Linked DNA regions of Pelodiscus sinensis. The protein of the gene in region 2 purifies or fractionates together with the protein of the main gene of each other region. This does not show direct contact. Links are inferred from orthologs where the notes say so. Each region holds a gene or a part of one and is shown on either strand. Other genes may lie near its edges.

Region 1 (7,545 bases), about 49 Mb from region 2:
TTAGCTTAAAGTTTTATTTTAAAAATATATAAAATTTAGAAGAGAAAATTCACTTTAATTTAAACATAAAAATGACTTTTAACACTGAAATTTTAAGAAATCCCCTGCAGTGTTTAAAGCCCAAATACTGAAGCACTAAGTACCTGATAGTGGAACTGACTTAACAGACATAAATAAAAAGTAATAAACAGGACATTTATATAGAATGTTTATTATTAGTGACAGTAAGTGGCATTAATTAAATGACTTGCAGTACTGGATTTTTAAGTTAGTGTCATTTTAAAATTCTAAAACTTAACATTTATATTGTTTTTTGGCCTGAAAAGAAAGTATGAATAATCAAACACTGAAATAAAGTCTATGAATTACTTTGTGTCTGAAGTCTTGAGAAATGAATTCACTGAAAAGAGTCAGTGTTACTGCACACAAACGTCTGAATATATAAGATAATTATGTTACTGATTCCTAAACAGTATTTGGTACGCCAATAAGTACATTTACATCTTTTTCATCAGTGATTGAAGCATCTTGGTCAGTACTCTTGTATCTGTTTATATTAAGATGTGGCAAACTTTCTTCAAAGCAGAAAGCTTAATTTTCACCTTCAAATACATTTACAAAACTCAGTTTATAAGAAATACTTGTACCTTCATGTAATTTATATCTACCATAAGTTTTGTTAAAGGAAGTTTTAAGAAGCCTAATGATATTTTTTTTTAATTGTCGGCTTTGAGTTTTTGAGAGAGCAGTTCTGTAATAAGCACTTCACATATAAGAAGGGATACACCGAAATGGTCAACATTGCAGGATTTGAGCCTTAACACTGGCCAGCTGTTCCTGGAACCCAAACAGCATGCAACTGATTAGCCTATTTTAAGTACCTAAACAGCATAAATGGCAAATATTTTTTTAAAAATAGAAAGCTTTATTACTTAAAATATTAGCAGCACAGATGGGGATTTTGTTGTTGGGGAGGAGGGAGACACACACATAATACAGCCCAACCAAAGTCAATGGGACTCAGCATAGGAGTTTGCCAGCATCAAAGCTTTTGCAGAAGAATTGGGCTTAACATCCTTTAGAAGAAAACTTACTGTGCTTACCTAAATTTAGGCCAGATCTTGGAAAGTAACCTTGCTGACTTCATGCAAATAAAGGGAGCAGGACCTATCCTGATTTAAAGCAGCACTATATAAATTTGCTCAATTAAGGGAACTGCCAAATTCAAAATTACATTTGTAGCTATCTTTTCACTTTTAACCTATATTTTTCCATTTTTAATTCTGTGTACGTAGTTTCATGCCTTCCCCTATACCTTCTGCTATATACCACTGTACTTTGTCAAAGTATGGAAAAGCATAAGAAAAACAGAATTTTATTGTAAAACTCCAAAGATTAGCTGAGGAATTCTGAGGCAGGTTTATTACTTGGAACTATATATATCTTTTAAAAAAATATAAGTAAACTATAAATGTTGTCCTCCCTTTAATTCGTATTCACGTAGCCACACATCATGCAGTATTTTAGAAATAGTAAGACAGAACACCAAAAACAGTTAATCTATATGCTGAATTTGTTGTAAATACATTTATTGCAATTAATTTGGCACAAGTTGTGCAGCCCTGAACCAAAGGGCATCTTTTGGAATATTTTGATTAACAACAACAACAAACTATAGCCAGTAAAACAGACTACTACAAACCCACATGCCAATTTCTGTACTAGTGATTTTGTTTTCTCTTAATCTGTTGAAATCAGCAGATGAAGGAAACCAGTAAGAAAATAAACACTGTCCAATCAAAGCCTCTTTAACAAGTCTCCTAGTGAAACACAGAAATGAAGCCTCTTAACAGATTGGCTCTTCCCCATAGGTAGGCAGGAAAAAGGTCTAGTGGCAGTCACAAGTCCCGCCTATGCTACATAACAATATCCTCCAATTAAAAACACCTCTAACCTCTTATGTTTTTGTTTGGTAATTTAAGGTAAATAAATCAAATACCCCTTCTAAAAATCAGCCTCCTGTATCAAGCCAGACTCAGGATAAAATAATTGTTGCAGGTTTTCTTTTATTAACTGAAGCATCTAACATTGTTATTCTAATTCAAAAGGTTTTTTTTTTTTTTTTTAAATCTCACCAAATCTTCATAACTTCTACAATGCTCATTTCCTTCCCAATCCAACCTTTTAGGAAGTAACTAGATTGAGAAAGAAAAAAAAAAAGTGTGATTAAAAGAGTGGAAAGACCAACATCAAAACAATGTGTGTTGTTTTGTTTTTCATTTGTTTTTAATAGGTGGCTTTAAAAAAGGGGAAAGGGCGAGAAGAGAAGGCATCAGAGCGTCTCACACGCACGCACCTGGTGCTGCTCCAACTCCTGAACCAGCACCTGCAGGGGAAGGAAGAAACAGATGCACACGAGTTAGGGGAGGGGGAGGAAACCACCAAACTCGCCGACTCTTCCGCGGCTGCTACTGCTGCTGCCGCCGCAGCTGCACAGGGCTCTGGGCCAGGAAGGCACCGGAGCCCTGGGTGGCAGCAGCAGCCGCCGCGGCGGCAGGCGGGCGGGCACTGCCGGGCTCTACTCACCTCCGCCGCGCGCCGGCAGGGCCCGGTGGTGAGGAAGCGGGCGACGAGGAAGTAGAGCTCTGCGGGGAGAGACGGAGAGAGCGATGAGCTCGGGGCGGGGGAGCCCCTCAGCGACTATAATTCATAATCATGATCAGGAAGATGGCGGCGGGGGAGCAGCAGGAACCGGCGGCGCCCGGCCGGCTCCCTCCCGCGCCCCGCTGTTACCTGATTCAATGAGCGGCAGGGACGAGCCGCCGGGGGAGCAGGAGGCGGCCGAGGGCTCGGCCATGTCGGGGGCGGCGCAGCGGGAGTCGGGCTCAGGCAGCGTGTGGCGCGGGCAGGGCCCGGTTCGGCATAATCCTCTCAGCGCCTCCTCCCCCACCGAGCGCCCGTCTCCCCCGCCCCTCCTCGCGCTAGCTCAGCCTCGGCCCCGCCGCCATTGCCGCGGAGCGACTCGCCTCGGCACCGAGGCTGTCCTCCGCGGGGGGCGGGGGAAGGAGGCGGACGAAAAAAAATAGTCCCTCGCTGGGGAGACTGGGATTGACGGCGGACGGGGATGTTTGTATTCTTTGATCGCACCAAAGGGGAAAAACAGCCCGCGGGCGGCCTATGGGTGCTGGATCTAATGCGGCGCAAGGGACGTCGCTGCTGTGGTCGCAGGAGAAAACGAGGTCCGGCCGTGGAGGCGGATGGAGGGAGGGCGTGATGAGTCACCGAGAGAACGTCCTTACGTTGGCGAAATGGGGGGGGGGGGGGGAGTTGGAGTCTAGAGGGGCGCGTGTGGCCGGATCCTGCGGCAGCTGCACCGCGGCGGCGGGGCCCGTCCTGCTCCCCCCTCGCCTCCATCTGCGGGGCCCTGAGGCAGGAGGCGCCCGCTTGTGGCGGCAGCTCCCCTCCGCCATGTGGAGTCCGGCAGCCCATTGTGGGGCCCCGAGCCTCCCCTCCGCCCCCAAGACACCGCGCAGGAGCCGCCGACGCTGAACTAGCGCCTCGGGCGGCTGCAGGAAGGACCCCGCCTTGCTCGGACCCCTTCGGGCCCCGTGTTGTTTCCAGGGTGATTCTGGCTTGACGGTTCCGAGAGCTCAAGGTGGGCCAAGCGCCGCCCTAGGCTGGGCTTCTAGCTAAGAGCCCAGAGGGTTTGTAATCCCCCCCCCCCCCCCCGACATTCTGTCTTGCATAGATGCTCAGGTCACTCTCTCTTCCTGCTTAGCACCTTTCCCCTTAACGCTGCCTTCAGCTTGGCTATGAGAACTTACAAATAAGGTTCGGATCAGGAAAGCTGGTGATGTTTTAAGGACTATTTAAGGGCTATAGGTGGTGCTGTGCTTTGCCAGTGGGGGTTACCAACAGCAGGCAATTCCCCAGAAGTGTCAAAAATATTTTCCAAAGCTTCAGAGGGGTAGCAGAGTTAGTCTGTAACAGGAAAAACTTAAACAACAAATAGTTTAGTAGCACCTGAAAGACTAACAAAACACGATTTGCATTTCCATGAGGCTGCTACCACTCCATCCACCATGGTGTTATTTCATTCAGAGAATGAAAGGAGAAATTCACCTGTTAGCCACAGACAGATCTTCCCTTCTGTTTCTTATAGATCTAAGCATCAGGATAAAATCACCTTTGGCCTGCCTCAGAAATAGGAAGTCAATTTGACAGTGCAGTTTAGAGATCTACAAAGGATTCAAGCAATAATTAAACTGGACCTTGGGTTATTATTAGTAATATTCTTGTTTTAATGTTTCTCACACTAGTTGTTGCTAACAAAATGGGTTCCAGAAGAATTATACAACATAAACTTGTTATTCCTGTTTGAATTCTGCAGTTGTTGCATTTGGGGACATAATACTGTTGCAGGATTCCAACAGGAGTAACTTGTACTGAATAACATATTAACTGGAACCAAACAGCAACAATAAATGAAGCAAAGTTAAGTATGAGGTTAAATTATTTACAGGATACAACACACAAAGAAATATTCATCAATCAAGTTGCACTTTCTTGTTATATCTTCAAATGGATGATACTCCGTCATGTACATCGAGGTGGGCAAAAATGTTTGATGTGGGGTCACTCCAACAATTTAAGTGGTCAAGGGCCGAACTCTTCCATTATATTAATGGAGGTGTGGGATCTGGGATGGAGGTTGGGTGCAGAAGGGAGCTTGGGGTAAAGACTGGGAGGCAGGAAGGAGTGTACCGTCTGAGAGGGAGTTTGGATGAAGGAGGGGATTGTGACTGAGGCAAGGGATTGGGGTGCAGGAGAGGGTACTGGGCCTAAGAGGGGATATGGGTGCAGGAGAGAATTCTAAACTGGAGGAGGGTAGGAGGTGGTTCAGGGGCTGAAACCTGATACAAGGGTGTAGGAGGGGATATAGAGTTTGGGTGACACAAGTCAGGAAGGGGTTGTGACCTGGGGCAGGTGATTGGAGTGGAGGGTCAAGGAGCAGTATAGGTGTAGGAGAGGATTCTGACCTGGCGAAGGGGTATATAGGAGGGAATGGATGGTCTGGGAGGGAGTTGTGACCTGGGACAGGGGTGCAGAGGGTTTGGTTTGTGACCTGGGGCAAGTAGGTGGGGTGCAGGAGAGGATGGGTTGTCGAGTGCAGACTCTGGCCAAGAGGCACTTACTTTAGGCAGCTCTTGGCCAGCATCTCAATGGGACCCTCAGGCAGGCTCCCTGCCTCCTGCACGCCACTCAAGGCAGCCAGCTGCAGGGGCCATATATTCTCTGTGTGCCGTGCACCCCTTGGAGAGGGGGCCCCCTCACACTGCCTGTGCCTCAAGCACAGCCCTAGCAGCTCCCATTGATCGGCCAACAAGATTGTGCTGGGGCTGGGACACAAAAAATGACTTTCTTCTGAGAGAAGAGTTTTGAGACAAAAAAGTGACTTTCCTGTTCACTGGTCTTTTTGCCTAATACAATAATAATAGTAAACTGCTCAAGATTCGGGATACAAGAGTATCCCAAAATAGCTATCCCATGTCTTCACAGCAAGCCCATTATTTCAAGTTCACTCTTCTGATGTCCCTGTAAACCTCACTCTACAATGAGTAAGGAACATTTCGGAATAGCACTTTATTTTGAAATTTGGCACTGTATAGACAGCACCAAATGATGAAATAAACTATTTTGAAATAGCACTGAAATAAGACACACAATTTACATAGCTCAAATTGCATATCTTATTTCCAGTTACGGTGCAGTGTAGATACACCCTAAGTGATTGGGCTGCAAAATGGCAAATGAAATTTAATGTTGATAAATGTAAAGTAATGCACATTAGAAAAAATAATCCCAACTATACATACAAAATTGAGTACTAATTTAGCTATGGATCCCATATGAAGAGAAATTAAAAAGGCTAGGACTTTCCAGCTTAGGAAAGAGGAGACTAAAGTGTGTGGGGGTGGAGGGGAGGAATATGATGGAGGTCTATAAAATGACGACTGGTGTGGAAAAAATGAATAAGGAAAAGTTATTTACTTGTTCCCATAACATAAGAATTAAGTGTCACCAAATGAAATTAATAGGTAGCAGATTTAAAACAAACAAAAGGAAGTTTTTCTTCACACAGTATGAAACTCCTTGCCAGAGGATGTTGTGAAGACCAGGACTTTAACAGGTTTCAAAAAAGAACTAGATAAATTCATGGAGGTTAGGTCCATCAAATACTTATTATCCGGAATGGTTAGGAATGGTGTCTCTAGCCTCTGTCAGCGGCTGGAAATGGATGACAGGGGAGGAATCACGTGATTACCTTTTCTGTTCTCTCCCTCCAGGAAATCTAGTATTGGCCACTGTTAGTAGACAGGATATTGACCTAGATGGACCTTTGATCTTACCCAGTATGGCTGTTCTTATAAGATGGGCAATGCTAGTGTGCTTGGGAGAGCCATCAGTGCCAAACAGGGGTGACTGGCACCGAGGAGCCTATATGTTGTAAGAATTGTTGCAGTTTCGGCACTGTTGATGTTGATGGCACTGATTTAGATGATACTAGTGTCTATATAGATGACTTGTGTCATCTTGCTCAGAGTGGTCCGTGCCATCATGGTTTTATTAATTGGTGCCAATGTAGCTGCTGGAGACTGTTGTGAGTACATGGCCAATGGTGAGTGCTTCAGCACTGTCTCTCTCACCAGAGTTGTCAGTGATATAGAGGAGGAGACTTGCCTGGACATGTGCTTGGACTCCTTTTCCTTTTGGTGGAGCACAGCAAAGGTTCTCATGTGGATGGTGCCAGAGGTACATCAAGGGGGTGCTCACCCATATGGAGGACAGTAACCTGGTAGGAGACCACTTATGTGGTTCTCTTTGTAGTGGAAGTAATGGCTCTTTTCCTTGCATTTTGGAGGATCGGATGCTCTCTTTGGATAACATGGATCTGCCCAAGGAGTCACCTGAAGGGCAGGTTTCCTGTCCTGCGTTGGAGTCCGGCTCAAATGATTACTTTTTCTCCCCTCAGGGTCAGCTTTAAGCATAGGAATTTGTCATGCTTGGCTAGGTTGCTACAGTGAGCATACTTCTGAGGGATGTGCGATTCATTGTGACAATGGACAGAGAGAGAGTGACTGTCAAAGATGGATATAGTCTCATGGAAAGAAACACATTTCTTAAATGCTGGGGAATCAGGCAGTTTGTACTAGGTTTCTTGCTAGGGATGTGAAGTAGTTGACTACCCGATAAGCAGGAGCTTATCCTGTAGCATTATCAACTACTTGATCATCCTCACACACAGTCTTAAAGGGACAGAGAGGAGCCAGTGCACAAAGATAGGTTCATTCTCTGGTCCCCCGTGGGCTTTCAGACAACCCTCATGCTGCCACTCTGCATTTTTAAGTGGCCGCCCGTCTGCTTCTCTATTTCAGCACAAGAGCCCTCCTGCCCCGCTGCCACACTGCATTTTTAAAGGGATATAGCAGCAGCAGCCATTGGTCCCACTTCTCTGTCTCTGCACAAGAGCCCCCTCCGCCCCCA
Region 2 (7,635 bases):
CTTTAAGCTTGATTTAAAAAAAAAAAAGGAATATTTGCAATACCATATAACATTGGCAAAAGCCACTAAGGGCTGTTTTTATCTCAGAATGGTGCATACAAAGGCCCAGCTGCCACAAGTTGTTTTACATGGGCTGCTCCTCTTCACATACACAGATCCCCAATAAAATACATCTGCACAGATAGAAGAGCCTGCATGATCCTGGACAACATTTGTTAAACATGTCCAAGAATACTATTTCAGAATGCACTAATGACTAATTAAGTATTACAATTTAAGATTTTTTTATTTAATAAAGCTTAATTTAGCATTCCAAATTCTAGCAAATTAGTTTGGTCTACTGCAACATCTTCGACACCATTCTTAATTAGCTTTAACACTGTCTATACTAGTTTTATTTCAATATATTTTCTTTAAAAAGTATCTGACCGCCAAACCATTGCTATACGTTATCTCTAACTACACTGCATGTAATAGAACTTTCTACACATAACATATATTTGATTTCAGAACTTGCTCTTAACTGAAACGTTAGAAAGACTGCAACACAAACTGTTATACAGAAACTGCATCACTTAGCTGAAAAGGCAATACTAAGACAGTACAGTAGCCAGACACTGGACTTGTCTGACAGAATGGTTGGGTTCTGTTGCCATCTACATCACTGATGTGCTGTGTGACCATCAACAAATCACTTCACTTTTTTATGCCTCATTTCCTAGGAGTGTAATAGTATAGTCAATAATCGATAAGCAAAAGCTTATAGATAATTGCTATAGACTATGTGCATTCCCCACCCCAACCCCGACAGTAAATTTTTTAGCAGCTCAGCTCAGTCCTGGCTTGTGCTGGGTCCAGGACCAACCCCTGCTACAGCTCTGCATTTGAAGTGTATTAGTAGCCGGGTGGGCAGGCAGCCCAGCTCAGTCCAGGCTTTCACTAGTCTGGAACCAACCCCCTCTGTGGCTCTGAATTTAAAGTGTATTAGGAGCCAGGCGGGCAGGCAGACTGGCCCAGTTCCGGCTCATACTGGGTCTGGGAGTTCAGACACACACACACACACGCACAGTCAGGGGCTGCTGCCATCCCGCGCTGCTGTCTCTGTGTGAGAAGCAGCAGCACAGGGTGACAGGCAGCCAGTCAGTGAGGGGAGATGGTTTTTAAACTGGCCTCCCTCATGGACCAGCCCCCGCCTGGCACCCCACGCTGCTGCCAAGGGGCTCCTCAGGAGTGGGGCTAAAGCACGCTGGTTGCTGGCCCGGCTCCTGGGGACTATAAAATAGTCAAGTAATCGAAAAGAACTCATGAGGTTAATCAACTGCTCAATTAACCGATATTTAACATCCTTATCATATCTCCTATCTGTAAGACAGTAGCAGTGATGCTGGAACCAGAAGTGATGGAAGTGCTCTGGCATCCCAGGCTATGACTATTAACAACAAACACCAAATACAGGGCTTCCATCATACACATTCCTAACTACAAAAAATTGTTCCAGCCCCTTGGGTAAGATTAGCCTGTCTTTGGGAGCAACAGATGAGGGTCCCTTAGGATTGCCAGGTGTCTGGTTTTGAACCGGACAGTCCAGTATTTGAGCTTTCTGTTAAGGAAACAAATTGAGAAAATACAAATGAGAAAGTATAAATGTCCGGTATTTTCTAAATAAGATGTAATGTAGATTGTGATGTAATGTCAAGTGTGTCCAGTATTTTTGTTGAAACCATCTGGCAATGCTAGGGCCCCTAGGCTCAGAACCTCGCATATGTAAGTCAGCTGAATTAACTTCCTTGGGGCTACAGGATCAGGCCCTTGTCTGCCAAAAAAAGTCACTGCCTATACATAGGAGCAGGCTGAGTAAGAGCCCTTGTAGCTGTTGAGACAAAAGTTAGCGGAGTTAAGGCCTTTTCACAGTCACTTTCCAGAGCAAACCCAGCCTGGCACCTATTTCTTGGGGAGGAAGGAACTAGAGCAGCCCCGACACCACCCCACCTCGGGAGCGGCGCTGCTCTCAGAGGGTGCAGGCTGCACGGGCTCCCGGGGCTCGAGCTGGAGGCTGCACAGCGCCCCCAAACCACAGGGTGGGCCGGGCACCTGGGCTGGCTCCCCCGCCTGTCAGTGTGCGCAGCAGCCCGCAGCCAGGGCCCCTCCCAGCCGGGCCCGGCGGCCCCCTCAGCGGGGAAGGGGCGGGGGCAGCAGGGGGCCGAGGTCAGGGCCGCGGGGTCCACCGGGGGCCCGGCCGGGAGGGGGGCTGGACACGGGACGCCTCGAGCCGCCGCCCGCTCCCCGGCCCAGGCCCACCTCTGAAGTTCTTGATCACGAGTTTCTTGGAGGCGGCGGCGGCGGCAGCAGCGCCCCCGGCCCGGGCTGCCGCCAGCGCGGCGGGCTTGGTGAGCCCGTTGGTGTGTTCCCCCAGCGCCGGCAGGTGCGGCTTCCTCTGCGGCTCGCCGGCCATGGCCGCCCCCTGCGCGCTGCCCGGCCTCGGCCGCCTGCTGGCAGCGGCTGCGGAGAGTCACCGCCAGCCCGGCCTCCCCCCGCGGCGCCCCGGCTCCGGGGGCCCCATCAACCCCGCCCCGCTGGCGAGGGGGAGGGCGACAGGCCGCGGCTGCAGCCGGCTCCGCGCACAAGATGGCCCCCGAGGCGGCCGGGCAGGGGATTCGCGGGGGAGCGGAGGCGCCTGCGGGGCGGCCCCTGGCTGGACTCGGACCCTTCCGCGGCGGGGCGGGCGGGAGAGCAGTTCCGGCCCGGGGACACAGTGAGAGGAGGCGTCGCTGGGCTCCCCCTGGAGGCCCAGGAGAAAGCGAAGGGGTCTCGAGGCTGGCGCAGGCTGGGAGCACGGGGCCCAGGGCGAGCAGCGGGGAGCGCCCCGCTCGGCGTCTTTCCTCCCGGCCCTTCTCCGCGGACCCCGCTGGGAGCGGTTTCCAGCCGCGTTACTTCAGCCCGGTGAAGGAGCAGCACTGAGGCGCTCCATGTTTTTCAAGCGGCCTTAGTTGACCTAGGCACCGGGTTGTCAGTTTAGGTTGGCCGGATTTCTGGAGACTTCATCACATGACCTGTAATCTTTCATTCAAGCTTAGTCTTTAATTCTTGGGAGACCCCAGGCAAATCAGGGAGGGTTGGCAAGTTTCAGCGTAGCTGTCATTCTTTTGCTATTCTGTTCAGATTAGCCAGTAGGCACAGTGCCTAGGGCCTATGAAAAATTTAGGGCCTAAAAAAAAAAATCATAATTGACTCAAAAATAAGAAAACTACTAAGTCACACTTAATAATTTGCTATTTGTATTAGAATATACATTCAAATTTTGAACATCATTAAACACAGGTGTATTAAATCTTTAGTCAACAAACAATATAAGAACTAGTGGTCACCAAGTGAAATTAATAGGCAGCAGGTTTAAATCAAACAAAAGGAAGTTTTTTCTTCACTCAGCACACAGTCAACCTATGGAACTCCTTGCCAGAGGATGTGGTGAAGGCTAGAATTTTAACAGGATTCAAAAAAGAGCTAGATAGATTCATGGAGGTTAGGTCCATCGATGGCTATTAGCCAGGATGGGTAGGAATGGTGTTCCTAGTCTCTGTTTCCCTGGAGGTGGGTGACAGGAACAAGGAAGGAATCACATCAGGATTACCTGTTGTGTTCCCCCCTCCCCCATGACATCTGGTATTGGCCACTGTCGGCAGACAAGATACTGGGCTGGATGGACTATTGGTCTGACCCAGTATGGCCGTTCTTATGTTCTTATATGATAGTGGTCTATAAAATCATGACTGACATGGAGAAAGTAAATAAGGAAATCTATGTACAGTAAAACTCCATTGGTCCGGCATCCAAAGCTCTGGCACTCCTGATGGTCTGGCACCATCAGGAACCCGGAAGTGCTCCGGGCAGCCGGACAATTGGAGCTGCTCTGTGCCGGGCTTCCCCAATTCAGCCGCTGCTGAAAATGACCAACAACTGAATCGGGGAAGCCGGGGACAGAGCAGCTGGGGTGCTGCCGGGTTGGTCCCATAGCGTGGCCCCTCGGCGCTGCGGGACCAACCTGGCAGCACCCCAGCTGCTCTGGCCCAGACGTCCCCGATTCAGCTGCTGCTAAAACTGATCAGCAGCGTCTGAATCGGGGATCCCTGGGGCAGAGCCGGACTATCCGAAGGGGGGGCTATGAGGGGTCTGGGGTGGCATTCCCCCCACCCCAGACCCCTCATAGCCCCCCCCTTCTGATAGTCCGGCATATTTGATAATCCAGTACCCCCTGGGTCCTAAAGGTGCCGGATTATCGGAAGTTTACTGTACTTGTTCTTATAACACAAGAATTAGGGGTCATCAAATGAAATAGGTAGCAGGTTTAAGACAAGCAAAAGGAAGTATTTCTTCACACAGCACATGGAATTCCTTTCCAGAGGATGTTGTGAAGACCAGACTTTAAAGGGGTTCGAAAACTAGATAAAATTCATGGAGGATAGGTTCATCAATGACTACTAGCCAGCATGGACAGGAATGGTGTCTCTAACCTCTGTTTGTCAGAGCGTTGGGAATGAGCGACAGAATGGATCACTTGGTGATCCTGTTCTGTTTAGGGTTGTAAGTGACTAATCAACCAGTTGACTATTCGATAAGCAAAAGCCTATCAAATAGTCAACTAGTCACTCCCCTCCTCTTCCCCCCCCCCCCCCCCCCGGCTTGCTGCCTTTATCACAAAGAGGCAGCAAGGGAAGGGAAGAGAATGCGGGTGCTGGAGGGAGCCGGCTTAAAAGCTGGTTCCCTCTAGCTCCGAGGAAGGGGGCAGGAGTGCAGCTAACTTTGAAAAGTACAAGAGTCCCTGATGGGGCTCTTGTACATTTCAAAGTGGAAGTGCCACATGGAGCCTGGGGTAAGTGGGAGACTCAGAATCCCACACTGGCCCCAGGCTCCACATGGTCGCTTCCGCTTTGAAATGCACAAGAGCCCCCACTGGGGTTCTTGTGCATTTTAAAGTTGGAATGCTGCATAGAGCCTGGGACCAGGCTCCAGGTGGCATGCCAGCTTTGAAATGTACAAGAGTCCCTAGCAGGGGTCCCCCGTTGACCCCAGGGCTTCCACTTTGAAAAGCACAAGAGCTCCCACTGGGGTTCTTGTACATTTCAAAGGAGGAACGTGGAAGTTCTTATCGACTAATCGAATAGTCGATGGAAATCCCATCAACTATTCAATTAATTAATCAAAATTTAACATCCTTAGTTTTGTTCACTTCCTCTGGGACACCTCTCTTTGGCCACTATTGGAAGACAGGATACTGGGCTAGATGGACCTTTGTCTGACCCAGTATGACTGTTCTTATATAGGTACCTGAGGTGGTTATGTAACACCATGCATCTTGTGAATAAAACTGGCCAAGATAAAAAAAGTTCATACTATTCATCCTATTAAAGACAAAGTCCAACATTTCTTGGAGTTCTAGTTTCCTCTTCTCAGCCTGAAACACATCTTAATTTTCAGAGTGATGAACACCCACTAAATGAAATGGTGTCTCTGACAAGAAGGGCCCAGGGCTTCACTAGCTGTTTGTTGTTGTTGTTGTTTTAATTTCCCACTCTTGCTATGGTTGTAGCAGCTTAAAAAATAGTGAATATAGGAGCACAGGTATAGACCAACCCATGTTTTAACCATCATGTCATCTAAATCTACTCAGAGCAGATGTAGACAGCACACTGTTTAAAATCAGCACTCTTACCATAGAAGAAGCTGTATCAATAATAACAACAGTAGAGAACTGGACATTTTTTATGTTTATGGTCATTTGTGAAATTTTTTACCTTAATGTACCATGAAGGGTGTTAATAATAGGATGTAAAAGTTTAAATGGTTAACTGATACTAGGCTTACTGTTAACCAGATCTTACCCCTTAACCCTGGCCACATCAGGCTGGCCAGCCAGAGACCCTAGCCCTGGCCACTTCAAGCATGTAGGTAGGGCCCTGGCTGCAGTGGGTAATATAACTCATGGGGCTTCTGCCCCAACCACAGTGGCCAGCCAGGACCCAAGAGACAATGGTCAGGCCTGCTAGCAGAACCTCTGCCATGGAACAGGCAGGCAGGATCCTGGTCACAGCCATGTTGGAGCAGCCCCAGCCCAGCCCCATCCGTAGGTAATAGGCAGGACCTCAAACATGTCTGCAGTCCCAGCTGCAGTGGGCAGGAGTAGCCTCACTCCTGTCCATGGCTTGCAGGTGAGACCCCAGCCCTATCCACAGAGTGCCAGCCAGCCTAGAACAGCTGTGGGCTGTATCTGGCCAGCCCCACTGGGGGTGTGTCTAGACTACAGTGGTTTGTCGACAAAAGTCCACTTTTGTCGACAAAACTATACCTGCGTCCGCACTGCCACTGAGTTCTGTCGACAGCTGTAAACCTCATTCTACGAGGAATAACACCTTTTGTCGACAGAGTTTTGTCGACAGAAGGCATTATTGCATCTACACTGTCCTTTGCGTCCACACTGTCATGTCGACAAAGTGGCTTGCTTTGTCGACAGAACTGGATGTAGTCTAGACGCTCTTTGTCGACAGAAGCTTTGTCGACAGTATCTGTTGACAAAACTTTTGTTGACAAAAGCCTGTAGTCTAGACGTACCCTGGAACGCCAGTCCTGGCTACTCTTAGCCAGCTCACCGAAGCAATCTCAGTTCACTAGTTAAATGATATAATTTTAATTGTTTAAATGGTTAACTTTTTAAACTAATATTTACATCCCGAGTTAATAGGCCACCTCACCTTGAATGGTCCCTTGAAATATGTACTAACTACTTGTGCTGAACAATCTGTTTCAACTTGTATATAGCTGAGGCACTGAATACATTTCCCAGACCAGAAGAAAAGCTCTGTAATTTAAAAGCTTGTGTATCACCCAGTAAGAGATGGATCCAATAAGTGATATTACTTAACGCAGGCCCGGCAAAAGAGTTTGCAGGGTCCAAGGCAGCATGCTGTGGTTGGCTGCACTGCGTGGCTGGGCAGCACCCAGCCAGGGTAGTGAGCGGGTGGGCGGGCACTGGGTAGTGCAGGGCCCTGAAGGCACATGGCTCAAGGCAACTGCGTTGCCCACCTTGCCCTAAGGCTGGGCCTGACTTACCCACTGGTTTTGAACCAGATGTATACGTAATCCTGAAGATATGGAATAATCTCTCAGAGGGTGCATCAACATATCTAGTTATTCACCTAGTTTTACAACAGGCTACATAAAAAATGCTAGCAAAGTCAGTATAAACTCAACCTTCATACAACTATTTTAGGGATGTAAAATCCCAGTTAATTAGACGGTTAAACATTAGGTTAATCTAACATTTAACTGGTTAACTAATTAAGCAGTATCTGGGTAGGGGCTGGGGCTTTTACTGGCTCCCAGCTCTTGGCCCCTAAGCCCCGCCAGCCCCTGTTGAGGATGGACAGGGTTCCCCGCGCACAGTGGCTGCTCCAGACATTGGTGCAGTCCCTGCCTGTGAGGTGCCCAGGCTTGCCATGGATGGGGGGATGTTCTGCCCGAGAGCAGCTCCTGTCCACAGCCAGCCCCCTGTGGGACTGGAGTAGCCACCTGCCTATGGCAGGCGAGCAGCTGCTCCAGCCCCCACCAGTTATTGGTTAATCTTTCACATCCCCAGTTTATACT
Region 3 (7,097 bases), on a different chromosome or scaffold from region 2:
AAGAGGTTTTGTTGGAGGGGGAGTAGCACTATATATGAAAGAAAGCATAGAATCAAATGAAGTAAACATCTTAAATGAACCAAACTGTTACACAGAAATTCTATGGATGGTAATACCCACCACCCAATCAGAATGGTGATACTGACTGTGAAATATTCTGGGAAATTAGAGAGAATAGTAAAATAAACAATTCAATAATGATGGAGGATTTCAGCTACTCTCACATTGCATGGGTACATATCATCTCAGGATGAAAAGCAGAGAGAAAGTTTCTTGACACCTTAAATCACTGCTTCTTGGAACAACTAGTCTTAAAACCCACAAGAGGAGAGGAAATTCTTGGTTTAGTCCTAAGTGGAGCACAGGATCTGGACCAAGAGATGACTACAGCTGGGCCACTTGGTAATAGTGAACATAATATAATTAGATTTAACATCCCTGTGGAAAACAATACAGCAGCCTAACCCTGTAAGGGAAACTACACACAAATGAGGAACTTAAACAGAAATTAAAAGGTACAGTGCCAAAAGCGAACACTGCAAGCTGCAAAGAAACTTTTAAAGACACTAAAATAGAGGCACAACTTAAATGTGTACCCAAATTAAAAAACATAGTGAGAGAACCAAAAAAAGGTGCTACCAGCAAGAAAAAAGAAGCAATGAGAGACAAAAAGGCCTGGTTTAAAATGTGGAAGTTAAATCCTAATGAGGAAAAAGAAATGAGCATAAACTCTGGCAGATGAATTGTAAAAATATGATTAGGAAAGCCAAAAAAGAATTTGAAGAACAGTTAGCAAAAAACTAAAAAAGTAATAGCAATTTTTTTTAAGTACATCAGAAGCAGGAAGCCTGCTAAACAACCAGTGGGGCCACTGGTCAATTGATATGCTAAAGGAGTGCGCCAGAAAAAGTCTGACTTCAGTACCAGGCAAACTATTTGAAAGAATAGTAAAGAACAGAATTGTCAGACACATGGATGAACATAATTTGTTGGGGAAGAGTCAGCATATTTTAGAAAGGGAAATCAAGCCTCACTAGTCTATTAGAATTCTTTGAGGAGGTCAACAAGCATGTGGAAGCCAATGGATATAATGTGCTGAGATTTCCAGAAAGCCTTTGACAAGGTCCTTCACCAAAGACTTTGAAGTAAAATGAGCAGCATGGTATAAGAAGGAATATCTTTTCACGGACTGGTAACTGGTTAAGTGATAGGAGACAAAGGGTAGAAAGAAATTATCAGTTTTTAGAATAGAAGTAAGTTGTAGTTTCCCTCAGGGGTCTGTACTGGAACCAATCCTATTCAGTGTATTCATAAATGATCTGGAGAAAGGGGTAAACAGTGAAGCAGCAACATTTGCAGATAATACAAAATCGTTCAAGATAGTTAAGTCCGCAATAGACTGTGAAGAGCTGCAAAAGATTCCTACAAAACTGGGTGACTGGGCAACAGAATGGAAGATGAAATTCATCGCTGATAAATGCAAAGTAATGCCTATTGGAAAACATAATCCCAACTACCTGTCTACAATGATGGGATATATATAATAATGGAATGATGGGATTTATCTTTTGATTCCTATCATCTAATGTTACCACTCAAAAGAGCGATCTTGGAGTCATTGTGGAGAGTTCTCTGAAAACATCTACACAATATGCAGTTGCAGTCTAAAAAGCAAACAGAATGTTGGGAATCATTAAGAAAGGGATCCAAAATAAAATAGCAAATATCTTATTGCCTCTTTTTACATCTATGCTATGTCCTCAACTTGAATACTATGTGCAGATGTAGTCGTATCATCTGAAAGAAGATATTGGAATTGGAAAAGGTTCAGAAAAGGGCAACACAAATTATTAGGGATACATAATAGCTTCCGTATGAGGAGAGATTAAAAAGACTGGGTCTTTTCAGCTTGGAAAAGAGATGACTAAGGGGTGATATGATAGCAGGCTATAAAATCATGAGTGGTGTGGAGAAAGTAAATAAGGAAAAGTTATTTACTCCTTCCCATAACACAAGAACTAGTGATCAACACACGAGATTAATAGGTATCAGATTTAAAACAAATGAAAGGGAGTATTTCTTCACACAATGCAGTTTTGGCCTTTACAACATCCTCTGTCAGGGAGTTCCACAGGTCAACCTGTGGAACTCCCTGCCAGAGGATGTTGTGAAGGCCAAAACTTTAATAAAGTTCAAAAAAGAACTAGATACATTCACGGAGGACAAGTCCACCAATGGCTATTAGGCAGGGTGGTCAGGGATGGTGTCTCAAGCCTCGGTTTGTCAGGGCTGTGAATGGGCATCAGGGGGTGCTGGATCACTTGATGATTCTCTTCTGTTCATTGCCTCTGGGGCACCTGGCATCACCCACTGTCGGAAGACAGGATACTGGGCTAGATGGACCTTCGGTCTGACTCGGTATGGCCATTCTTATGTTCTTAATATTAATTACTAGATATTTGCCATGGATTATTTTTGCAAACACATGGCACCTACTTTGAGGATTGTGGATTGATCCCGAGGACAAAATCTGAATAGGATAGCATCACTTCCTCCCAAGCTGATCCTATACAGATCAGTCCAGATGGCCTCTTGACTGGACTGGAGTCATGAAACCTCCTGCCTCAGCTGCAGACCGGTATAGCTGGATGATGCTGAATGTGGAGAAATAGCTCAATAAAGCTCCAATATTACAAAAAAAGAGATCAAAATCTCCCGCTGTTTCTTTCCCTTTTTAAACAGACTCTGCGGTGATAGCCCTTTGGCTCTGCCTGCGCTGCTGTCTGCAGCCAGCAAATCATGGCTTTACTCTTTTAATCCATTTTATCTTTTAATATCGGCATTATCCTTTCACTCACATCATCTCCTCTCCTCGCAGCACTGCCGCCCGGGTCCTCTTTAGACAGTGGGTAGTTCACCTTGTTTCCCATTGGTGCCTGGCCGGGAGCCCCGCTTGTAAATCGGCAGTCACGTCACCAGTGAGTCGGGCAGCGGGGTCATGGAGACCTGGGGGGAAAGTTCTAGAATGTGCGCGGCTGTTGGGCAGTTGCTCGGGCAGGAGCCTGTTAGCCAGGTCACGGAGCCATCACGCCAAGGGGCCCGATCCACACCCCATTGAAATCAATGACACTGCCCCTAGACTATTGGGTGGCCTAGGCAGTCTCCCTTGGGAGGGAGGGCAGGAGCTGATACGGGCAGGCCCAGAGCTGTGAGGAGCATGGCAGGGAAGCACCAGGAGTCAGGCCTGCCCCTGCATTCACTGGGAGGTGGAGTGACCCGGCCCCAGCTCTCAGCCACATCACTGGGCAGGGTATTCGGGGAAAGGGTGGAAAGGCTTCTGCACTCACCGGCGGTAGGAAATGGAGTTAACAGGGCTGGGGCCAAGTTGCTTCACTTCCTTCTGCCGCTGGATGTGTGTTTGGGGGGAACGCCTGCTGCCGGTGCCAGGCTCCCACTATTGCCCTGGGCTGTGTTGCTCATGGGAAGGAGCTTGGAAGAAGAAGCGGAGCGGGGCAGAAAGAGGTAGGGTGGGGGCAGAGCATAGATAGGGGTTCAAGGAGTGGAGTGAGTGTGGGATAGGGGGGTGGGGTGAGGAGTGGCTGTCCCAAGCCCCACATGCCCCTAGAGATGGCTCTGCTTGGCACAGCCTTTGAGAGGGCCAGTTGGGGGTGGTGTTGGCTGCCAGAGCCAGCACTGGCCCATACACAGCACGCAGTTGTCTAGGGCACCACAAAATTCCGGGCAATTTGGTGTGTAGTTTGTGCATTGGTAGGGATGGCCTTGCAAAACACCATTCTCTTTGAATCTCTCCACTTGCTGCCCAGTTTCCACTTGCTGCCCAGTTTGCATCCGATTCAGGCTTCTTGTCCTCACCTTCACGGATCTTCATTGCACTGCCTTTTCCAGCTCATGTCTTTGTCTCTGCTTATGTCATGCTCACATCCCATCTGCTAGGCCAAAGAAGCCAACTTCAGCCCCTCAGTCGTATGCTTCCTCAGCAACCATTTTTGCCTCTTATTCTTGCTTCACTTTATACATGGAACATACCTAGGCCTGGTCTACACTAGGATCTTAGTCCGAAAAATCCCCCCCAGGTTGAATGTGTAAGCGGTGCGTCCACATTACTAGTTCTACTGTGAGGCCTATAAGACATTGCCAATGAGGAATGGCCTGTGGGGAAAATGGATACTTTTGTGTGTTGTATTCCTCCCCCTCCCCCCCGCCCAGCATGTGCAAGTTGCTCATCTTCTTAGATTGAGAACTCTTGGGTCAGAAACTGTGACCTAGTAAATGTATGGGAGGGGGCAAGCACGGGACCTAGAGTGGGCGGTGCGCCCCAGCTCGTGCCCGAGGCTGCAGGTGCTGCAGGGGGCAATGACCCCACCACTCACCACGAAACTTTCACCCCGCTACCTGCCACACCATGGGGCCGTGCTGGGGGCTCCCCTCTTCCACAGCCTGCGACCAGGAAATTGGGTCAGACCCCGGGCCCATCCCAGCGCTGCCACCACCTGCCCACTAGGCTCGCCCCACTGCACCTGCAACCGCCCCCTAGCGGCGGCCGCAAGCCTCAGCCCACCGCTCGGCAACCCTTGGCCACCGCTGGAGGGGAGGGGCCCGGGCCGAGTGACATCACAGGAGGAATGGAGGAGGGGGCTTCCCCGCCCCGGACAGGCCTGCGCAGTGGAATGGCCTGGTAGAGGCGAGTGGGACAGCTGCCGCTCAGAGCGCTGCCCCTCCCCTCGCACCTCCGCCGCCGGCCTTAGTGAGTGACTGTCCCTGCCGCTTACCCTGGGAAGCCGCTTCTCCCTGCACTGCCAAAAGTACCTTAAAACCTTCTCCTGGAGGAAAGGTAATCCCATGGAAAGTTTGGTTGCAGTAGCTCTTACAGTGGCCACGTTATTAGCACACAAACATACAAACATTCTCCTTATATATTAGATATTTTTTCAGGTCTTGTTTGAATATAATACAATAATCTGACGAGTGAAATTGTTGTTTGCTTATTTATAATATTTTTTATCATTTTAAAATATAAATTTAAGGTACTTTTTAAATATTTTTATATAGTACATAACTTGTTTTGTTGAAATAAAAATAAGTATAGACCAAAACAATAAGGGAAAGACTCATATTTCAGAATAATTGCTTCAGCCTGGCAAACAATAGCTTTTGAATTTTCTTTAAAGAAACACAGTGTAAACCAGGTTCATGCTAATTCTTTTTTTGCCCTGGAATTTAAATATGACATCTGGGTTGGCTGCCTTATTCTGCATCCATACCCTCCTCTCCCGCCTGCTCTAAGTGTCTGTTTGTCCCCAGAAGGATTACCAAAACGGATCAAGTGGCTTGCAAAGCTGGCCGTTATGCTATCCTTAGGATTTCTTAAACTTTGCACTTTCAAAGGTACGTGTAATATTCTTACACAGCTAATCCATGCAAGACTAACAAGTTAGAACATAAGAACATAAGAATGGCCGTACTGGGTCAGACCAAAGGTCCATCTAGCCCAGTAGCCTGTCTGCCGACAGTGGCCCAGAGGGGGTGGATCGAAGACAATGATCAAGTGATTTGTCTCCTGCCATCCTTCTCCAACCTCTGACAAACAGAGGCCAGGGACACATTTCTATCCCCTGGCTAATAGCCTTTTATGGACCTAACCTCCATGAAATTATCTAGCTTCTCTTTAAACTCTGTTATAGTCCTAGCCTTCGCAGCCTCCTCTGGCAAGGAGTTCCACAGGTTGACTACACGCTGTGTGAAGAAGAACTTTCTTTTATTAGTTTTAAACCTGCTACCCATTAACTTCATTTGTTGTCCTCTAGTTCTTCTATTATGGGAACTGTAACCAGGTGGCCTGCTAGGGGGTCGCAGGGCGCCACCAGTCCGCGGGCTCCTGCTCCGCTTCGCCCCTGTCCCCGGCTTCTACCTCACCACTACCACGGTCCACTCCCTGCGGTCCGCTCTCGACAAGCCCGCAGGCCTCGTCAGCAGGTTTCGGCTGCGTCCGGATCCCTGCGCCGCCGCTTCGGATCGCCGGCTTCCCAGATGTCCCTGCCGCCGGGATCCCCTTGGCCGTCTCCCGTCTTGCGGCGTCAGCCGCCCACGTCGGTCAGGTCCTCTCCAGGCTCTGGTCCGGTGTTGGTCCCGTCCGGTCTTTCCGCTGGACCTGTGGAGCAGGCCGAGAGCAGAATCTCCCCTGCTCCCTCCTTACCTCCCCTCTTGGCGTCCCTCCCTCCTCCCTTTTGAATTCCCCGCTTGGCGTCCTGCCGGCCCCCGCCCTTCCTCGGGCTGCCCCCGACCTCTCGGGTCCTAGCACCCGTCGGTCCGCCTCTCGGCTGATCCGCACCTGCGCGTGGCCTGCGCCGGGTTCCCCTGGCTCTGCTGCTTGTGCCGCCTCGCCGCGCTGGTCTCCCAGCGCCAGCTGACCCCCCGCGCAGGGCACGGGGCCACGGTTCCCGAGTCCGGGAGTGTGGGGGTGAGTCCCCCCATCACAGAAACTAATAAATAACTTTTCTTTATTCACTCTCTCCACACCACTCATGATTTCATATACCTCTATCATATCCCCCCTTAGTCTCCTCTTTTCTAAACTGAAAAGTCCTAGTTGCTTTAACCTCTCTTCCTATGGGACCCGTTCCAAACACCTAATCATTTTAGTTGCCCTTTTCTGAACCCTTTCCAAGGCCAAAATATCTTTTTTGAGGTGAGGAGACCACATCTGTACACAGTATTCAAGATGTGGGCATACCATAGTTTTATACAGGGGCAGTAAGATATTCTGTGTCTTATTTTCTATCCCTTTCTTAATAATTCCTAACATTCTATTTGCCTTTTTGACCGCCGCTGCACACTGTGTGGAAGTTTTCAGAGAACTATCCACAATAACTCCAAGATCTCTTTCCTGATTTGTCATAGCCAAATTAGCCCCCATCATACTGTACGTATAGTTGGGGTTATTTTTCCCGATGTGCATTACTTTACACTTAGCCACATTAAATTTCATTTGCTATTTTGTTGCCCAATCACTCAGTTTGGTGAGATCTTCTTGGAGTCCCTCACAGTCTGCTTCTGTCTTGACTATCCTAAACAGTTTG
Region 4 (7,774 bases), on a different chromosome or scaffold from region 2:
TTGACCCTGCTCAGGATGATGGGGGAGGGGGAGCCATCTCTTTTGTAAAAACCTCAGATAGCATTGGATAATCTGGAAAGCTGCCAACATCGCCTTCCTAGTTTTCCTTTTCTTATCCTGAATTGTTCCTTCGTTGTCTCTCCCATCCACTTTCCCACAGATTCACTTGCTAGGGGCGGGATGGGACGGGACGCCTGGCTTTAGATCTGCTTCCCATCCATGAGCCTTGGAACTTGCCACTTAGGTTCTACTCTTTGCTCCTGCACTCTACAACAGACGTAGCGTGTGGAGCTATTTCTGGGAGGGGGAGCCATTCAAAGAGCACCATTGCTTTTTCTCTTCAGAGCCACCAGGTGAGCACTGAAGCAATGAAGAGGAGCTGTAAAGCAACTTACATTCACCAGCAGCTAGTTCCCCACTTGCCAGTTGCAGGTACCTTTTACAAGTTTTATCCAAAGGTTACTGGCTTCATCTAGCAGCTTTTCATACCAACTCTCTCCCCAAACATTTCACAGAGTTCATTTGGAAACATCATCAAGGTAGGCTAATGACAGCTCAAGTCAGTTTCATCTGATATTTACCTGCCATCAGTATTATAGTGCAACTCCATAACTGCTCCACTGTGTCCCTTCAGAGTGGCATAATTATCACAGTCCCCATACACATTCCATAGCACTGGAAAGAAACCAAATACACATAAAACTATGTTCTACGCCCACATCATCACAGCTACACTTCCTGGGCTCACTAAAATGAAGCACTTACAATATTCAGCATAATCGCCAAACTCTCATTTTAAATAGGTTTTTAAATATGTGGAACAGAAGATGTGAAAGTTCTCCTCATCTGGGGGAAGGGTAGGGAGGCCCATGTCTCCCCATGGCCGCCACCCTTATTAACTTGTTCCTCAGCTGCCACTTGCCAGGCCAGCTGCTGCACCATCCCTGACAAAGTGCAGGGAACTTCGCTTCTCTGAGCGCCCCATCAACAGACAGAGGCGGTTGGTTAATAATGTGTTCCACAACCCGAGTCATATGAGCAGTAGGATTTTAATCCTAAATGTGAGAGTTACTGGCTAACTGATTGCTATAGGGCCTGAAATAGGAGAACTCAGCAAGGGAAAGCAAGACCAAGGATCACACTAAACAGAAAAATCTGCATCTTAATTTATTTATTAATGAAGCCGCTAAAATGTAAATAGGACTATTATTGACTTCAAAAAGTATCAGTGGCACACAGATCCATAAATAGAAGTGAATAAATTAAATCTTGGCATGTCACATCTGAAAGGTTGACAATCCCTGCCCTAGTACATTCTTAGGTTGAACAGCATGTTGTTGCAGTGAGTCCCAGAGGTTAATGATCCATTGTGTAGAAAAGTATTTCCTTTCAACAAACCTGAATGTCATCTTTGCTCCTGTATTATGAATAAGCATAAATAGAAACATCTGTTTTAACTCTTCTATACCCTTCATTTTGTATCCTTCTTAAATGTAGAGAGCTGACAGATTAGATGGGATATGAAAGGAGTCCCACATCAAGCTGTCCTTATGGAGAAGGATTTCTCATCCCTTTATAGTCCTGTATGGCTGTGCAACCCATAACTACAGTGTTGCAGTTAAATCCATATTCATACAAACAGGAATCCAAAATGTATATCTGCGTTCATAAAAATGAGTCACAGATATCTGCATCCACATCTGTGGATGTGGATACCAGGGGATATAAAGCAGATATCCATGGATTTGCAGAGCTCTAACTGTAACAATACTATGTGGCTTCTTACAAGAGTTAGGGTATGTCTACATTACCAAGTTTTGTTAACAAAATGTATATCAACACCCAAAAATTGATAAAAACAAAAATTGCCTAGAGGGTGTTCACACTTGCTCCCTCTGCTGACAGAGCATGTTCACGCTGAGGGCACTGTCATTGACAGTGTGAGCAAAGCACTGTGAGTATGTATCCCACAGTACAGTGTTGTGAGAAAGCAGAGCTGGGGGCATGGCCTGGCAGGGTAAGCAGGGGTCCACGGACTAGCAGTTGGGAACTGCTGATTTAGGGCATTAAAGAGGTTACCAACGCTTTTGAAATATGCTCAAAAGCGCACAGCTCATTACTGGCCTGCTGTCAACATTTCACCCCATTGCTCTCAGCAGCTCAGTCACTCCATTGCACTTGAATGAATGGAAAGCAGTTTACACCAGCAGTGTATTATTATTATTATTATTTTTTAAACAAACCACCCTCATAGCACAAACTACTGATCATTACAAACTCACAGATCAGTCTGTCAAATCCTGCAGATGCTAAAGTTGCTCCATTAGGGTGAAACTTGCAACAGTAAACTTCTCCTTCATGCCCCGAGAGCAGCATTATAGGTGCCTGGAGGGAAGAACAGCGTGGAGGGCCCTAAAACACAGAGGGAATGCAGACAGAAATGAAACAGAATAATAAATAATGAGCTAATGAAACCTCTGAACCAGAAGGTGGACGGTGTGGGGGAGCAGGCCAGAAAACACCCCCCCTCCCATAACTCCTTCACTAGTTTTAACTCGGGTCATATTTCCACTTTTCTGACACACACAAAATAATAATAATGGCAAAGCGCGTCTCACACCCCGCCCGCCACGGGCCCCACCTCCGATGGGGAGGCGGAGGCCCCGCGCAGCAAGAGGCCTGGTCTCGAGTCACACCAAGGCCGGTGTCAGTTCAGCGCGGAGGCTACGAACGACCCAAAGAGGCGGAGCCACGTTGCGACAGGAGTTGAGCGGCCCCCCCCGGCCCGGCCCCCGCCCCTCCGGGGAGCCTCGGGGTCACCGCCCGCGGGGGACGCGGCCCGGCCCATCCCGGGCCCCCCGCGCTCACCGCCTGCAGCAGGGCCCCCGGGGGCGGCGCCCCGCCCGGGCCGGGCCCCAGCAGCTCATGCCGGGGCCGCTTGGCCGCGGCCGCCACCAGCGCCAGCTCCGGGACCGGCCCCTTGCGCTTCTGCGGCTCGATCATCCCGGCCCGCGGCAGCCGCTCGGCCTCGGGCGTCCTGCAGCGCTAGGCCTCGCTCCGCCCGCGCCCGGCCCCCATTGGGCCGCGATGCCGCGCTCTGATTGGCTGCGAACGCCAAGCGTGCTGATTGGGCAGCGCTGGCCATGCTGGCTAGGGGATTCGCCGGAGAGTTCTAGCATCGGGCGCGCCCATTGGCTCCGTAAGTACCCCGCGCGAGTATGCCGTGCCGTGATTGGCGGGCGCAAGCTTCCTCAGCTCGAAGGGACCGGGGTGCAGGTGGGATGACGGCGGCCGCGGCGCCCTTGAGCGGGTGAGGGGGCGGCGCGGCCTCAGCCCCTTCCCCTTCCCGCGCTCGGCAGGCCCCGCTCGCGGTCCGGGCTCGCTGCTTCTGCCCGCGGGAGCCGCTGAGCGTCGCGTCCAGGCGCAGGCCGGGCCCTTTGCGCGCCCGCTGGCGTCAGGCCTGTGTCCCGGCGCGAGCGGGTTCCAACCGCCCGGGGCAGCGGCGGGAGAGCCGGCCGGGAGCCCGGTGGCCCCTCGCAGAGCGGGGCGGGGAGCCTAGAGCGGCCCCCCCCGGCCCCTCCCACGGGTACACAACCTGCCCCCCCCCCCCCCGGCTCTGGTGCGCGAGGGGGATGTGGGGAGCCCAGCAGTGAGGGGTTGTTGGGTTTGGGGCCGCTCATCTCTGTGCGGCTCCCGACTGACTCTTTCCTGTGGGTCCGTGGCCGCCACCCCCCCCCCAAAGTTCCACACTCCTGTTAGAGTCACCGATTTATTTTGGCGTAACCTCTCCTGAGTAAAAACCACTTGGTCAGCTGCGTGGAGTCTACAAGGGGCCACAGGACTCTTCATTTTCCCAAATACAGACTAGGGTTACTGACTGTGTTTAAAGTTACAGGCTAACGCAGCTACCCCTCTGAGGCCATCGGCTACCCCTGTGAAATAGGAATGAAGTGTCTGTGAGGCTGAATTCTGAGAATAGGGCAAAATTGGCTAGTTATTATCCAGAGCCAGTTTATAGTCACGTGTTCATATTTTGCTGTATCTGCCTAGGTACTTGAATACTTAGTGTTTTTGAGGTACTCTTCTGACATACCCTACTGCAGAAAGCTCTTTGAAATATATCATAGCACCCTTTTATCCAGGGAGAAACTGAGGCATAAAGTTTAGTAACTTGCTCATAATTGTACTGAAAGTTATTGGGAACTGTATCATTGAAGAACTCGGATTGTCTGTTTCCTCAACTTGTTCTCTATCCACTTGATTACACTGCCATAACGTATAGTGTGAGCACAAGACACTATGGACACATCTACACAAAAGTCGAATTAAGCCACGCAGCTTCAGCTATGTCAATTGTGTAGCTGAAGTTGAAATTAGGGATGTTAAATATTGATTAACTGATTGAATAGTTGATGGGATTTAATTGATAAGGACTAGTGCACATTCCACCTTTGAAATGTACAAGAGCACCAGTGGGGGCTCTTGGGCATTGTAAAGAGGAAGCATCTCATGGAGCCTAAGGTCAGTGGGGGACTCGGAGTCCACCCCAGGCTCTATGCAGCATTTCAGTCTCTGAAATCCACAAGAGCCCCTACTGGAACTCTTGAACATTTAAAAAAGAAAGCACTACTGCTGCTGTGCCCCGCCCCATCCCATGGAGCTGGAGCTGGGGGGAACTGACTTTTAAGCTGGCTCCCCCCAGCGCCCTTCCTCTTCAACCCTTTGTTGCCTCTTTGTGATAGCGGCAGCGAGGGGAGAGGGAGAGGGAGGAGGAGTGACTAGTTGACTAATGTGTTGACTATCCGATAAGCTTTTGCTTATCAGGTAGTCAGTCGCTTACATCCCTAGTCAAAATAGCTTAATTCGTCTCTTGGCGCTGTCTACACAGCAGGTAGACGAAGGAAGAACTCTCTTCTTTTGACTTCCTTTACTCCTTGGCTGTGTCTACACTGGCACCCTTTTCCGTAAAAGGGATGCTAATGAGACACTTCGGAGTTGCAAATGCCACAGGGGATTTAAATATCCCCCACGGCATTTGCATGAACATGGCTGCCGCTTTTTTCCGGCTCGGGGTTTTGCTGGAGAAAAGCGCCAGTCTAGACAGGATCTTGCGGAAAAGGGTTTATTTTCCGCAAGATCCCGTCTAGACTGGCGCTTTTCTCCGGCAAAACCCCGAGCCGGAAAAAAGCGGCAACCATGTTCATGCAAATGCCATGGGGGATATTTAAATCCCCTGCGGCATTTGCAATTCCAAAGAGTCTCATTAGCATCCCCTTTACGGAAAAGGGTGCCAGTGTAGACACAGCCCTTGTGAAATGAGGGTTACAGGAGTCAGAGTGAGAAGTCTTCCAGCTCGCTATTATTTCGAAATAATGTCTTGCTGTGTAGAAGCGTATTTGGTTATTTCAAAATAACATCACTTATTCTGAAATAACACATCTGTGTAGACTTACCCTATGGTATCAGATATTTAGAAATTAGTGAGAGTGAAAGCAGTGCAGATAAAAACCATCCCTGAAAAGTTTTCCCAGAGTTTATTTCTTTTATCACTAATGAAGATATTTCTTTCAATAAATGGTGTCTTTCTTTATTTCAGCTACGAATAGGGTTGCTCCACAGCAATAAATGGGACATCTAATACATGGAAACAAAGTAAGCTATAAAGGTTGGGAAAGAATTGTGGAATGCATACTCTTAGAAAACTTCCCAAATGAAGTCTGTGAGACCTGAGGCAATGGAGACTTTACCTGAACTCTATGATGTCTTCCAAGGAGAGGTATGTGTGGTGTTGCTTAGGGTCACAAAAGAAGCGTGGGAGACATGAATGGTGCAAGATACTGAGAGATAATAGAGAGCCTTTCATTTTTAAATCTTCAGTTCAGAATCAACCCTAGATACAGGCAGTAAAACTAAGTGACCAATGTAAAATGAGCTTGTGTTGTGTACTCTGGTTCATAGAGAGCAAATGTCCACATCACAAAACCCACTACTGTCACAGCTGTCTCACACTGACCTCCTGTTGGCATTCTCGGTAGAGCGTTTAAAGAATATGTAGGTTAGAGAGAGAGAAACGGAAATGAGACCCGAGGGCCATCAAAAGGGGCAGTGCCAGAGTGATGGGTTTTTTTAAAGCCATTCTCGTGATCTTGGCTTCTGGGCTCATTATTTTTGTTCACTCCTTTATGCTAGAGTTGATGCGCATTGACAGGGAGGTAAAGTCGACTTCAGTCTCTAGTGCTGCTGCCTTCTACTGGCAATCTCAGATTAAAAATGTAATACGCTTTTTTGTAAATACTAATGTTTTGAGAACCGGCTGAGACTTTTATTGCAGGTGTTATTTCATTAGATGTCTTAAAAATAAAACCACTTCAAAATAGTCACATTGCTAATGTCATTCTGAAAAGCAATATCTACTAATTTTGAGAAGATTAGCTAAGAATGTGTGTTCATAAACATGCTAGTCCACTCTTAGGATGGGAAAAGCTGTCTGCAGAAAATTCATGCTGATAATTTCTCTCAGCCAAGTCTAATTTTCGACCCAAGTGTAGGGGAATCTGAAAGACTTATTGCTTTAATTTTCACATTGTGTTGAGCTTGGGGATAAAGCTTTCCTTCTGCCTCATGCTGTGAGATACAAAAGACTTTGGCTCTTAAAGTAGGAAGCTGTTTTGAATAGCTGCTATCAAGATAATTTGTTGCTCAGTCTGGCACAACTTGAAGTTCTGAATTTCAATATTTTAGGTTCACTCCATGCTTGAACTTAGCATAAAAATCCGCAGTGCCCTTAGTTCCTTTCTTGTAATTAAAAAGGGAAGTGATATTCTGTTATCGTCTAAAGAGCCTTACGTAGTATGTTTAACTTCAAGAATGGGAGAGGACAAAGACTAGAATTAGAGATATCACGGGACTGGCAATGAGCTAAAGAGCCTCTCAAATTTCAATTGGTTCAAATCCAGCCTTAGGCCCTGATTCCAAAATAATGCTCTACACGGGTGGATCCATGCAGCACCTAATCAACTTCAGTGAAGTTCTGTGCAAACTCACTTGTCTATTTGCGTAAGTGTGGCAAAATTATTAGGGAGGGCAAGTTTTACCATCAGATGTTTGTTATAATTATGTGAAACTAGTTGGTGGGTCTCAGTCTAGATACTAGTGGACCAGTATCTATTTCAAAACCACCACTGCCACGGTTGGCACTGACCCATCTTCTAGTGGGCAGTCTCATTAGAGAGGCCTACGATTACAGGAAACCCCCACGTTACGATTGCCCGAGTTGCAACCCCCCGCACTTACAACCATTTTTGTAAGTGTGGAAGGGGCTGAAACCCCCTGACTTACGTCCTTAGCCCGCATTTACGACCGTGCACGGCGCCTATTGTAAATGTGGGTTCGAGTTACGACGCCTCTGACTTGTGACGCTTCCCCAGGAACTGATCGCATCGAATTTGGGGGTTGCCTGTAATCTGAGCATGGAGGGAAGGGTTAACTCCACCTTAGTGCTAGGATGAGGTCCTTCAGAGACATGCTGGTTTGCAGATTTGGGGATGTTTTTCTTGCCTGTCCAATGTCTGTTCCACAGAGGCTGTAAGTTCAGCATTAAATGTATTCAGATGGTAAAATGTTAACTCCTGCTGCTAAATATAGCAAATAGACGCTCTTTGAAAAATACCATTTTTCAAGATTTGTCTGTACTCTTGCAGGGCAGGAAATAATAATCCTGTGCTTTTGTTTGTGTGTGTGATGGAACAATAATTGTTATGTAGCGCCTTAGGTC

What was found.
Region 1: the proteins of CUL4A (region 2) and BRWD1 purify together in Homo sapiens (affinity purification with mass spectrometry; 3 studies listed by BioGRID and IntAct, with this or other methods). This does not show direct contact. The link is inferred for Pelodiscus sinensis from reciprocal best matches to the Homo sapiens genes CUL4A and BRWD1.
Region 3: the proteins of CUL4A (region 2) and COPS7B purify together in Homo sapiens (affinity purification with mass spectrometry; 8 studies listed by BioGRID and IntAct, counting the BioPlex papers as one, with this or other methods). This does not show direct contact. The link is inferred for Pelodiscus sinensis from reciprocal best matches to the Homo sapiens genes CUL4A and COPS7B.
Region 4: the proteins of CUL4A (region 2) and SNRNP40 purify together in Homo sapiens (affinity purification with western blotting; 3 studies listed by BioGRID, with this or other methods). This does not show direct contact. The link is inferred for Pelodiscus sinensis from reciprocal best matches to the Homo sapiens genes CUL4A and SNRNP40.

The regions. Positions count from the first base shown.
Region 1 is NC_134711.1:188,051,980-188,059,524, forward strand, and holds the start of BRWD1 (bromodomain and WD repeat-containing protein 1), read right to left. Parts: upstream 3,007-7,545; 5' UTR 2,858-3,006; coding exon 2,794-2,857; intron 2,646-2,793; coding exon 2,587-2,645; intron 2,387-2,586; coding exon 2,357-2,386; intron 2,196-2,356; coding exon 2,136-2,195; intron 1-2,135. UniProt on the Homo sapiens protein: May be a transcriptional activator. May be involved in chromatin remodeling. Plays a role in the regulation of cell morphology and cytoskeletal organization. Required in the control of cell shape.
Region 2 is NC_134711.1:237,496,947-237,504,581, forward strand, and holds the start of CUL4A (cullin-4A), read right to left. Parts: upstream 3,017-7,635; 5' UTR 2,453-3,016; coding exon 2,299-2,452; intron 1-2,298. UniProt on the Homo sapiens protein: Core component of multiple cullin-RING-based E3 ubiquitin-protein ligase complexes which mediate the ubiquitination of target proteins. As a scaffold protein may contribute to catalysis through positioning of the substrate and the ubiquitin-conjugating enzyme.
Region 3 is NC_134720.1:49,896,277-49,903,373, forward strand, and holds the start of COPS7B (COP9 signalosome complex subunit 7b), read right to left. Parts: upstream 3,007-7,097; 5' UTR 2,931-3,006; coding exon 2,859-2,930; intron 1-2,858. UniProt on the Homo sapiens protein: Component of the COP9 signalosome complex (CSN), a complex involved in various cellular and developmental processes.
Region 4 is NC_134735.1:17,396,200-17,403,973, forward strand, and holds the start of SNRNP40 (U5 small nuclear ribonucleoprotein 40 kDa protein), read right to left. Parts: upstream 3,007-7,774; 5' UTR 3,004-3,006; coding exon 2,869-3,003; intron 2,413-2,868; coding exon 2,283-2,412; intron 676-2,282; coding exon 582-675; intron 1-581. Other genes in the region: ZCCHC17 (zinc finger CCHC domain-containing protein 17), read left to right, coding at 5,711-5,776. UniProt on the Homo sapiens protein: Required for pre-mRNA splicing as component of the activated spliceosome. Component of the U5 small nuclear ribonucleoprotein (snRNP) complex and the U4/U6-U5 tri-snRNP complex, building blocks of the spliceosome.